Linked DNA regions of Sus scrofa. The protein of the gene in region 2 purifies or fractionates together with the protein of the main gene of each other region. This does not show direct contact. Links are inferred from orthologs where the notes say so. Each region holds a gene or a part of one and is shown on either strand. Other genes may lie near its edges.

Region 1 (3,748 bases), on a different chromosome or scaffold from region 2:
CTGATGCGGCTTTATTCAACTGTTCTTAAGATAAGAGGTACCTATATGTCTAGACTCTAGGCAGACCAAGAACCATGAAGACATACAACTGATCTTAAGAATTTTAGCTGGAGCGACATGACCATGCTTTGGGTATTTTCATAAATCAAGCCGCCTGCAAAATGGCTAAAAGGGCAAGGCGACAAGTTATTGTAGTAATCCAGAGGAGCGACAACGGTGATCTGTACCAGTAGAAATAGACAGGTTGGAGATGTATTTAGGATTAGGTGATCGCTTGGAGGAGGATTGACTATATTGCTTTACACCTGGCTCAGAGGATAAAAGAAATTTATGACACTTTGAAAAACAACTTGTAAAGTGCTACCTAAATTTAGCGGGATACTGTATCATTCCCTTCTTTCAACTATTCATAACCATTTAAAAAACTTCACGGTCCTATCGGTTTGTCCGATTTACAGATTCTCCCTACCCCAAACTGGCGCATGGCACGTTAATATTTTCAACATAAATTCGTTGAAAATAGCTTTAAAAAAATTCTTCATTCACCAATATCCAAAGCCGTCGGAACTATCGCATGGAGAGGATTCCAGACCCCCTTCTAGAGGTTTATCTGGATTTGCCGGATTCCCACCGCTCCTCCACGCGCAGCCTCACCCCCTGGTCCGGCCCCATACTCTTGCCGACAGCCTGCCTCCTCCCTCTCCCGCTCCCTCCGCCCCACTCTCGGGCCCTTTCGGGAAGCTCCGCCCCCCCCAGTTCCGCAACTCAACTCCTCTCCTTCCGTCGCTTTCCATTCTCCCCGCCCCCATGGCTGTTTTCAATTGGCTAAACTGGCTGTGCCGCGACGGGGAGCGCGGCAGAGCCTCGTTCTTATTGGTTGAAATATAGCCGGGCCTCTTGTGATTGGCTGCTAAGGGGAGCCAGCAAGTGTGACTGCGCTCCGGGGTGTGTGGACGCCGCTTTGTTGCCTGAGGGGGGTGGCGGTGGAAGTTAAGAGGGTCGGGGGCTAGAGCGTCTCCGGATCTGTAGTCGCGGCGGTTGCGGTCGCTTCGCCTGGTGTCCTTTAGCGTAGGAGTCGCGTCAACAGCAGCCATGAGCGGCGGGGTGTACGGGGGAGGTGAGTGAGTGCGGCTGCTCGAGAGCGCGCCTTTTTAGCGTGTGGGGTTCGTAACCGCCGCCCCCAGCCCTCCCCTCCCCTCCCCTCCCCGGCGGCCCTTCCGGTCTCCCCCTCTCGGGACCCCGGCCTCCCCGCCCCATCCCCGCCCCGCGCTTTGCCCGCCCCCGGAGCCCACCCGGCTCCACGATCGCCCCGGGCGCCCGGAGTCGCCGCCCCCTGGGGCCTCTTCCAGTTTCCGCCCGCCGGGGAACCGGTTTTTGGGGGTGCACGCCGCCCCGGGGCTGGGCGGACAGCTCCCCTCGGGGGCCCGGCCCGGCGAGCCGCGACTGGATTGGCCGGCTCAGGGGCTCTTCTCAGGCAGTCGGCTCTGTTGGGGTGTGCGTGCTTGCGTGTTTAAACTTGGGAGGTCCCGGCAGTTAGCTAGTGTGGACCGCGGGTTTTCGCGGCGTCGGGGAGATGGCAAAGCGAGCCGCGAGGGTTGGAACTGATTGGAGGAGTGGCGGCCACTCCGGACGCAGCCTCCTCTCCGTCCGCGCTCCGCACTCATGCTGCCTCACCTTTCAATAACTCCTGCATATATGTTGACTGTGGATTCTCCAGAGTTATTCGTGGGCGGGTCTGCTCAGGGTTAGTATAGAGATATGGGTAATTTAAGAATGAGTGGGGTGCGCGGTATAGTGAAAGATTTCCGCGGGCTGGGGCTTACATCCACCTGGGTTGTAATATCAGCCTCACTTTTTATTAAACTCTTTGCCTTGGGCAAGTTGTTTAACTTTTCCCAACTTCAGACGATTCGTTTGTGGAATGAAAATTCCTACCCATTGGGATGATTGTGAAGGTTAAGGGGGGGTAATGCTACACTTGCTACTCAAAGTATGAGCCAAAGATCAATAGCATCAGCTTCACTTGTAAGCTCTTTAGAAAATACTGAATTAGAGCCTCCGTTTTTTTGCAAGATACCTAGGTGAAGCACTGAGTTATATGATTTCCTAACCCAAAATGTTGGTCTTGTTGTTGTGTTTAGTAAGGATATTGTTTCTGAAGAGGTTTTATAGGTAGGATATGAAAATAAGGTTTTTAAAGTTCTTAGTAGTTTTGAAATGAAGCTTGAGTCTCAGGTGACACACTGACCCTCACCCCCTCCTTCCCTGTATATGTTCTTAGTTTTAATTTCTCAAATGTGAGAGTTAGTAGTTTCCCATTTTTACTTTGAAGAAAGCCTAGTGGATCTTCATGATTTACTTCTCTCCCATCTGAAGATGCAGTCCTGACAGAAAAACTGGATCTATGTGCCTTTGCCTCATGAAGGCTACTGACTGTATTGACTTTCAGGTTCACTGATCCAAGGACCTAAAGGCTACCCACTGAGTAATTCCTTACAAGGCATTGTTTAATGTGATTAAGGTAGAAATAGATACCAATAATGCGAACGTTAACATTTATTGAGTGCATGCTGTGTACCAAGAACTGTTCCAGAGGCTTGCTGTTGCATTTAACACATGCATGAACTTAATCAACAACAACCGTGGGGGATGGTACTGCTTATCCCTGTATTATTAAAGAGGAAAATGAGGTTTAGAAAAGATTAAGTAGCTAGCCTAGAGTTACCTAACTTTCTAGTAAATGGGAAATAGGAACCTCTGGGATAAAGAAAAGGCATTTCAGTAAAACCCTTTCCCACTTAAAAAAAAAAAAAAAAAAGGTTTTTGGTTGTTTCTCCATAAGCCGTTCTTCAAGTATATAACCACAGCATATTCATATATGATTTAGATATTCACAATAAATATCCTATGTCTCATTTGCTTATGTAGAGGAATATATCTTAAAGTCTACTTCATATATAAAGTATTTAAAACTCACAAAAATGCATGGTTATAAAGTATTTAAAACTCACAAAAGTGCATGGTTTTGTGTTTGAGCTGCTACTGTATGGGAGTATTTATAGTCAGTCACATTTTCCAAAGGGTTTACTCTGAAAGGCAACCAAACCTCCCACCCAAGTTTTATGTAATTAACTTAATAAAGTGTATTTTTTTTTTTTTTTTTGTTCTTTCTAGGGCCACATCTATGATATATGGAAGTTCCCTAGGGGATGAATCTAAGCTGCAGCTGCCAGCCTGCTCTACAGCCACAGCAATGTCAGATCTGAGCCACATCCGTGACCTGCTTTGCAGCTTGCAGCAATGCCGAATCTTAACCCACTGAGCAAGGCCAGGGATTGAACCCACATCCTCATGGATAGTAGTCTGGATCTTAACCTGCTGAACCACAACAAGAACTCCAGTAAACTGTATTTTTTAACTTAGCTTGCTTATTAAAAAGATATTTGTAGTTTGTTTTAAGTTTTGTAGCTGTCTTATTCCAGTAGTTATTTCCAATCAGGACTGGCACTTAATCTTTAGCTTTAGGTATAATACATAATTCATCTGGATTGCCATACTTTCTGTAATTCGTTTTTGGGCCTCCTCATTGCTCCTGTGATCACCTTTTATGGTACTCTTTTGCTTCATACTCCTTTGTGTGCCAAAAATAAATAGGTATACTACCAGCCCATCTTTGATAAATTTTATCACTCTTGGGCTCCCCTCACCCCCAATCTCTAATCTTAAAAGTTTCTCAAAATCATCTTCC
Region 2 (3,748 bases):
TAATCTATAATAGCTATTAACTTTAAACAATTATTATACAAATTCAAGTTTAAAAAAAACTCTAACTTACATATTCAAGTCCAGATTACTAAAGAACTTAAAAATTTGTAATCATGAAAAAGTATAATAGCTACCTTTTATTGAATGCTCACTTTGTATCAGGTACTATATGCTCTAATTTATCTCTATTATTTTTAATCTTCATGATGATTCTCATTTTACAGACAATAAATCCCGGAGAAGTGGCAATGTGGTCAAGGTCAATGAGTAAGTTTCTAAAGCTCTAAAATAAACTCAGATTTGCTGGACAACAAAATCCATGCTCAAGCCTATACAAAACACTTCTCTAGCAAATCTTTAGCATTTCAAATACATTAAAGTTAAAATGAATTTTGTGAGCAAGCTGGAGAAACACACAACTCAGATTTCCACACTACAATCCACTGAACAGAAGGTGGCTTCCAAGACATATTACCTTGTTTCATGCACCACACGAAACTGGCAGGAGGCTGAGAAAAGAATATTTGTGAACAATGGGTATGGAAGTATGTGTGGTGCTGGTGGGGCAGAGAAGGGAGGCGGGAGGTGGGGGATGGGGGCTACCTCAAGACTACCACACTCTGAAAGGTTCTATTCTCTGATCTCTTTCCATGATACTCTTTTCCTCCTTATCACATCCCCAAACCCAGATGTTCCCCCCAGCCTTACTTCTCTGAGAAGAAAATCTGTCAGCACAAGAAATATCCTATGCATAGTCTAAACATGGGATACATGTGATCAGGAAACATCTTCTGTTGATATACCCTATTAGACTTCCCCTGTGGCCTACAGCATAACTAATGGCATTATCTCTGCAGATATACCCTATGAAGGCCAGCCATTAATATTATTTAAGCAATTAAACAGTACTTACGTTTCTCCAAACAAGAGTGACAGACAGCCAACAAAGTACACTTGATTAAACATTTTAATTATGGATCACATTATTCACATTCTTAATTTTTAATATAGGATTTCTACAAGACAGTGGTAACAGCTATATTCGTTTCACAAAGGGGAAAGGTGTGTGAGGTTCTTTCAGAGCATGATGAGTGTACACTTGGCACTCAACACTGTTTTCTTGTTTTGAAGTGTAATTTTCCTGTACTTATCTTTTTATTCTTTATAAAGGTATTTATTCTTTATCTTCTCTGAATCGTAAACTCTTTAAAAGAAACTTCACAGAAAAAAAATGATCCTATAAACTAAATACTGCTCTATGAAAGGGCCAAGTTATTTTTGGGAAAAAGTCTTCGGATTAACAAAGTATAACTGAAAGACCAAAAGCCAAAGTTTTTGTTACAGTAGACAAGCAGCTTTACAGTAAAATCCAATTTCCTTTCTCATGTTTGATTGAGAAACTATCATGCTGTTGACAATTGAGAATGTATCCTATAATGTGTAACTTTTCAAATTGGACATTCTAAGTTCACCAGGGTCTCTAAAGAACTACATATAACCTGTGCTTCCATATGCATTTCCTCTCTTGAATTTTGACTAGAATGAATTTTAACAAATACATAAATGCCGCTATGTTCTATACGTGAAGTCTCAAGTCAAAGTCTTCGCAACATTGATGCCAACGTTCACTAAAACATATGTCTACATTCTTAATGAAGGTACAGAAACTTTTATTGTACAGTCTCAAATTCGAAAAAAAAAAAAAGGTGCACATGTGCTCTGATGCCACCTTCTTTTGTAAAAGCCAGAAGAAAAGTAGCGTGGGAAACAGAAGAGCCAAGATTCGGCATTGCCGGTTCTTTTTGACAACTCCTTATGATGTACTAGCGAGGGAGCCGGAGGAGAGTCAAACAGCAGAGGTGCTGGCGTCGATGGCAAGTAAGTCTGGCACTGAACGCGCGCAGCGAACAAGGGCAAACGCGCCGACTTACTCTGCACCTGCAGATCCATCTCGCGCATCTCCGTGAAGCGGTCCCTCAGGTCCATTGGCAGCTGCTCAATCACTGTCAATGGGAAAGTCAGTCAGAAGGGCGGGGCCAACGGCGAAAGTACGCGCCGACGTCGCTGCGTGCGTGCGTGCGTGCGTGCGTGGGGGGGGCGCGAGGGAGCCGGCAGCCCACAACGAGGCTGCCAGTTACCGTGAGAAAGAAACATCCCCCGCCTCCCCCTCCCTCCCGCCAGCCCGCCAGCCCGTCCACTCCTGCTCTCGCCCGCCCTCAGGTCCCCCAGTCGGGCCCGCCGGCGCCGCCCACTCACTTTCTAGATAGTCCTCTAGGTACAACATCGCGGCCCTTAGAGCTGGGGGAGCGAGGGGGTCCAGGGGTTTATTTGTGTCACTCGCTGTCGCCGGAGTTTTGTCCCTTCCAATATGGCGCCTCCGCTAGCAGCACCCGCTCGGCTTCGGCGGAAAAAAAAAAAAAAGAAAAAAAAAAACCCACTTTGGCGCCTGACGGCGCCTGCCTCACTGCCGCCCGGAGTGGTCATTGGCTGGCTGAAGAGGTGACGTAAGCCGAGCGGAGCACGCCCCCGCGCCTTTGTGGGAAGTGTAGTTTTCGTCCCTCCCCAGCAAGAAAGAACACGCTGGTAGTCCTCCCCTTGCAAACTACAAAAACCAGGTGCCATTGCGAACGGTGCGCAGCAGAATCTGAAATGCGGTGCCTCTGTTTATTTGTTGATTTTTGCACGGGTAGTGATGGGAGTTGTATGCGCCTACAGAACACAACTAGGAACAACTTTTCACCTGTTCTTTACTGCCGCAATTCCATGTCCTGGCGTTTATGAGTCATGGATTTCAAGTAGTGTGAGGCAAACGGCAAGGGTTCTAACGCTAGAATAATCGGCAAAGTTCGGGCAATTGGAAGTGTTCAAAACAGAACTCACTGTTGGAATTTATCCTCCGTATCCGCTCCTAAAAATATAAATGGGACATCTGGTTGGCTGACATAGAACTAAAACAGTTTACACTCAGAATATTGAGTGAATTATGTATTTACCATATTAAAAGATGCACAAATGGTTCTCAGTAGCCACTGCATTCTATTTTGCAGTCCATCTAGTCGTTCTAATGTAATTGATCTATATAGCTATACCTGCACCCGAAACATTAATAAGTGAGCAAACAGAAATAACGGGTGGAGCCTTACCATCTAATTGTCTGTCTTAGCAATAACTTAACAATAATTACGTTGAGTAAATAGCCTGTATTTGACGTCTGTAGTCCAGGGCGTTGTCTTTTTCTATCTTCGACTCCTCCCCGCGTCTGTTCAGCTGTGATATATTTAGCCCTTCACTGCTCAGTTTGTTTCCTTTTTTTTAAAAACGTTTGCACTCAGTAGATATTGGGTATTGTTATTTTCCATCTATTTTAATCCTCCACCCCCAGGAAAATGTGTCTTTAGTTCATAATTTAATGTTCTCTTTATATTTTTTAGATTGGAGTTGAAACACTTTGTTTTCTGCTTTTTCTCTCTCCTCTACATTTTCTTATACTTAAAACTTTTCATAGCTGTTCATCAAGATACTTAGCTGTCATATTGACGAATCTCAAAGGAAACTTACCTCAATCCTAATAAGAGTTACCTAGTTTATTTTCTGTACTTTGACCTAAAATCTACCGCATTCAGTCTTCCTTCCACCCTTCCTCCCTCCCTTCTTTCTTCTGGCTGCTTTTGAGATTTCTTTGATATTTTTGCAGTTTTGCAGTAATGAATCTAGGTATGAATTCCTTTATTTCCTCCTTTCCTCCTTC

What was found.
Region 1: the proteins of ING3 (region 2) and ACTL6A purify together in Homo sapiens (affinity purification with western blotting; 3 studies listed by BioGRID and IntAct, with this or other methods). This does not show direct contact. The link is inferred for Sus scrofa from reciprocal best matches to the Homo sapiens genes ING3 and ACTL6A.

What each region holds. Positions count from the first base shown.
Region 1 is NC_010455.5:117,597,521-117,601,268, forward strand, and holds the start of ACTL6A (actin-like protein 6A), read left to right. Parts: upstream 1-894; 5' UTR 895-1,092; coding exon 1,093-1,117; intron 1,118-3,748.
Region 2 is NC_010460.4:25,974,081-25,977,828, forward strand, and holds the start of ING3 (inhibitor of growth protein 3), read right to left. Parts: upstream 2,420-3,748; 5' UTR 2,285-2,419; coding exon 2,257-2,284; intron 2,004-2,256; coding exon 1,932-2,003; intron 1-1,931. UniProt on the Homo sapiens protein: Component of the NuA4 histone acetyltransferase (HAT) complex which is involved in transcriptional activation of select genes principally by acetylation of nucleosomal histones H4 and H2A.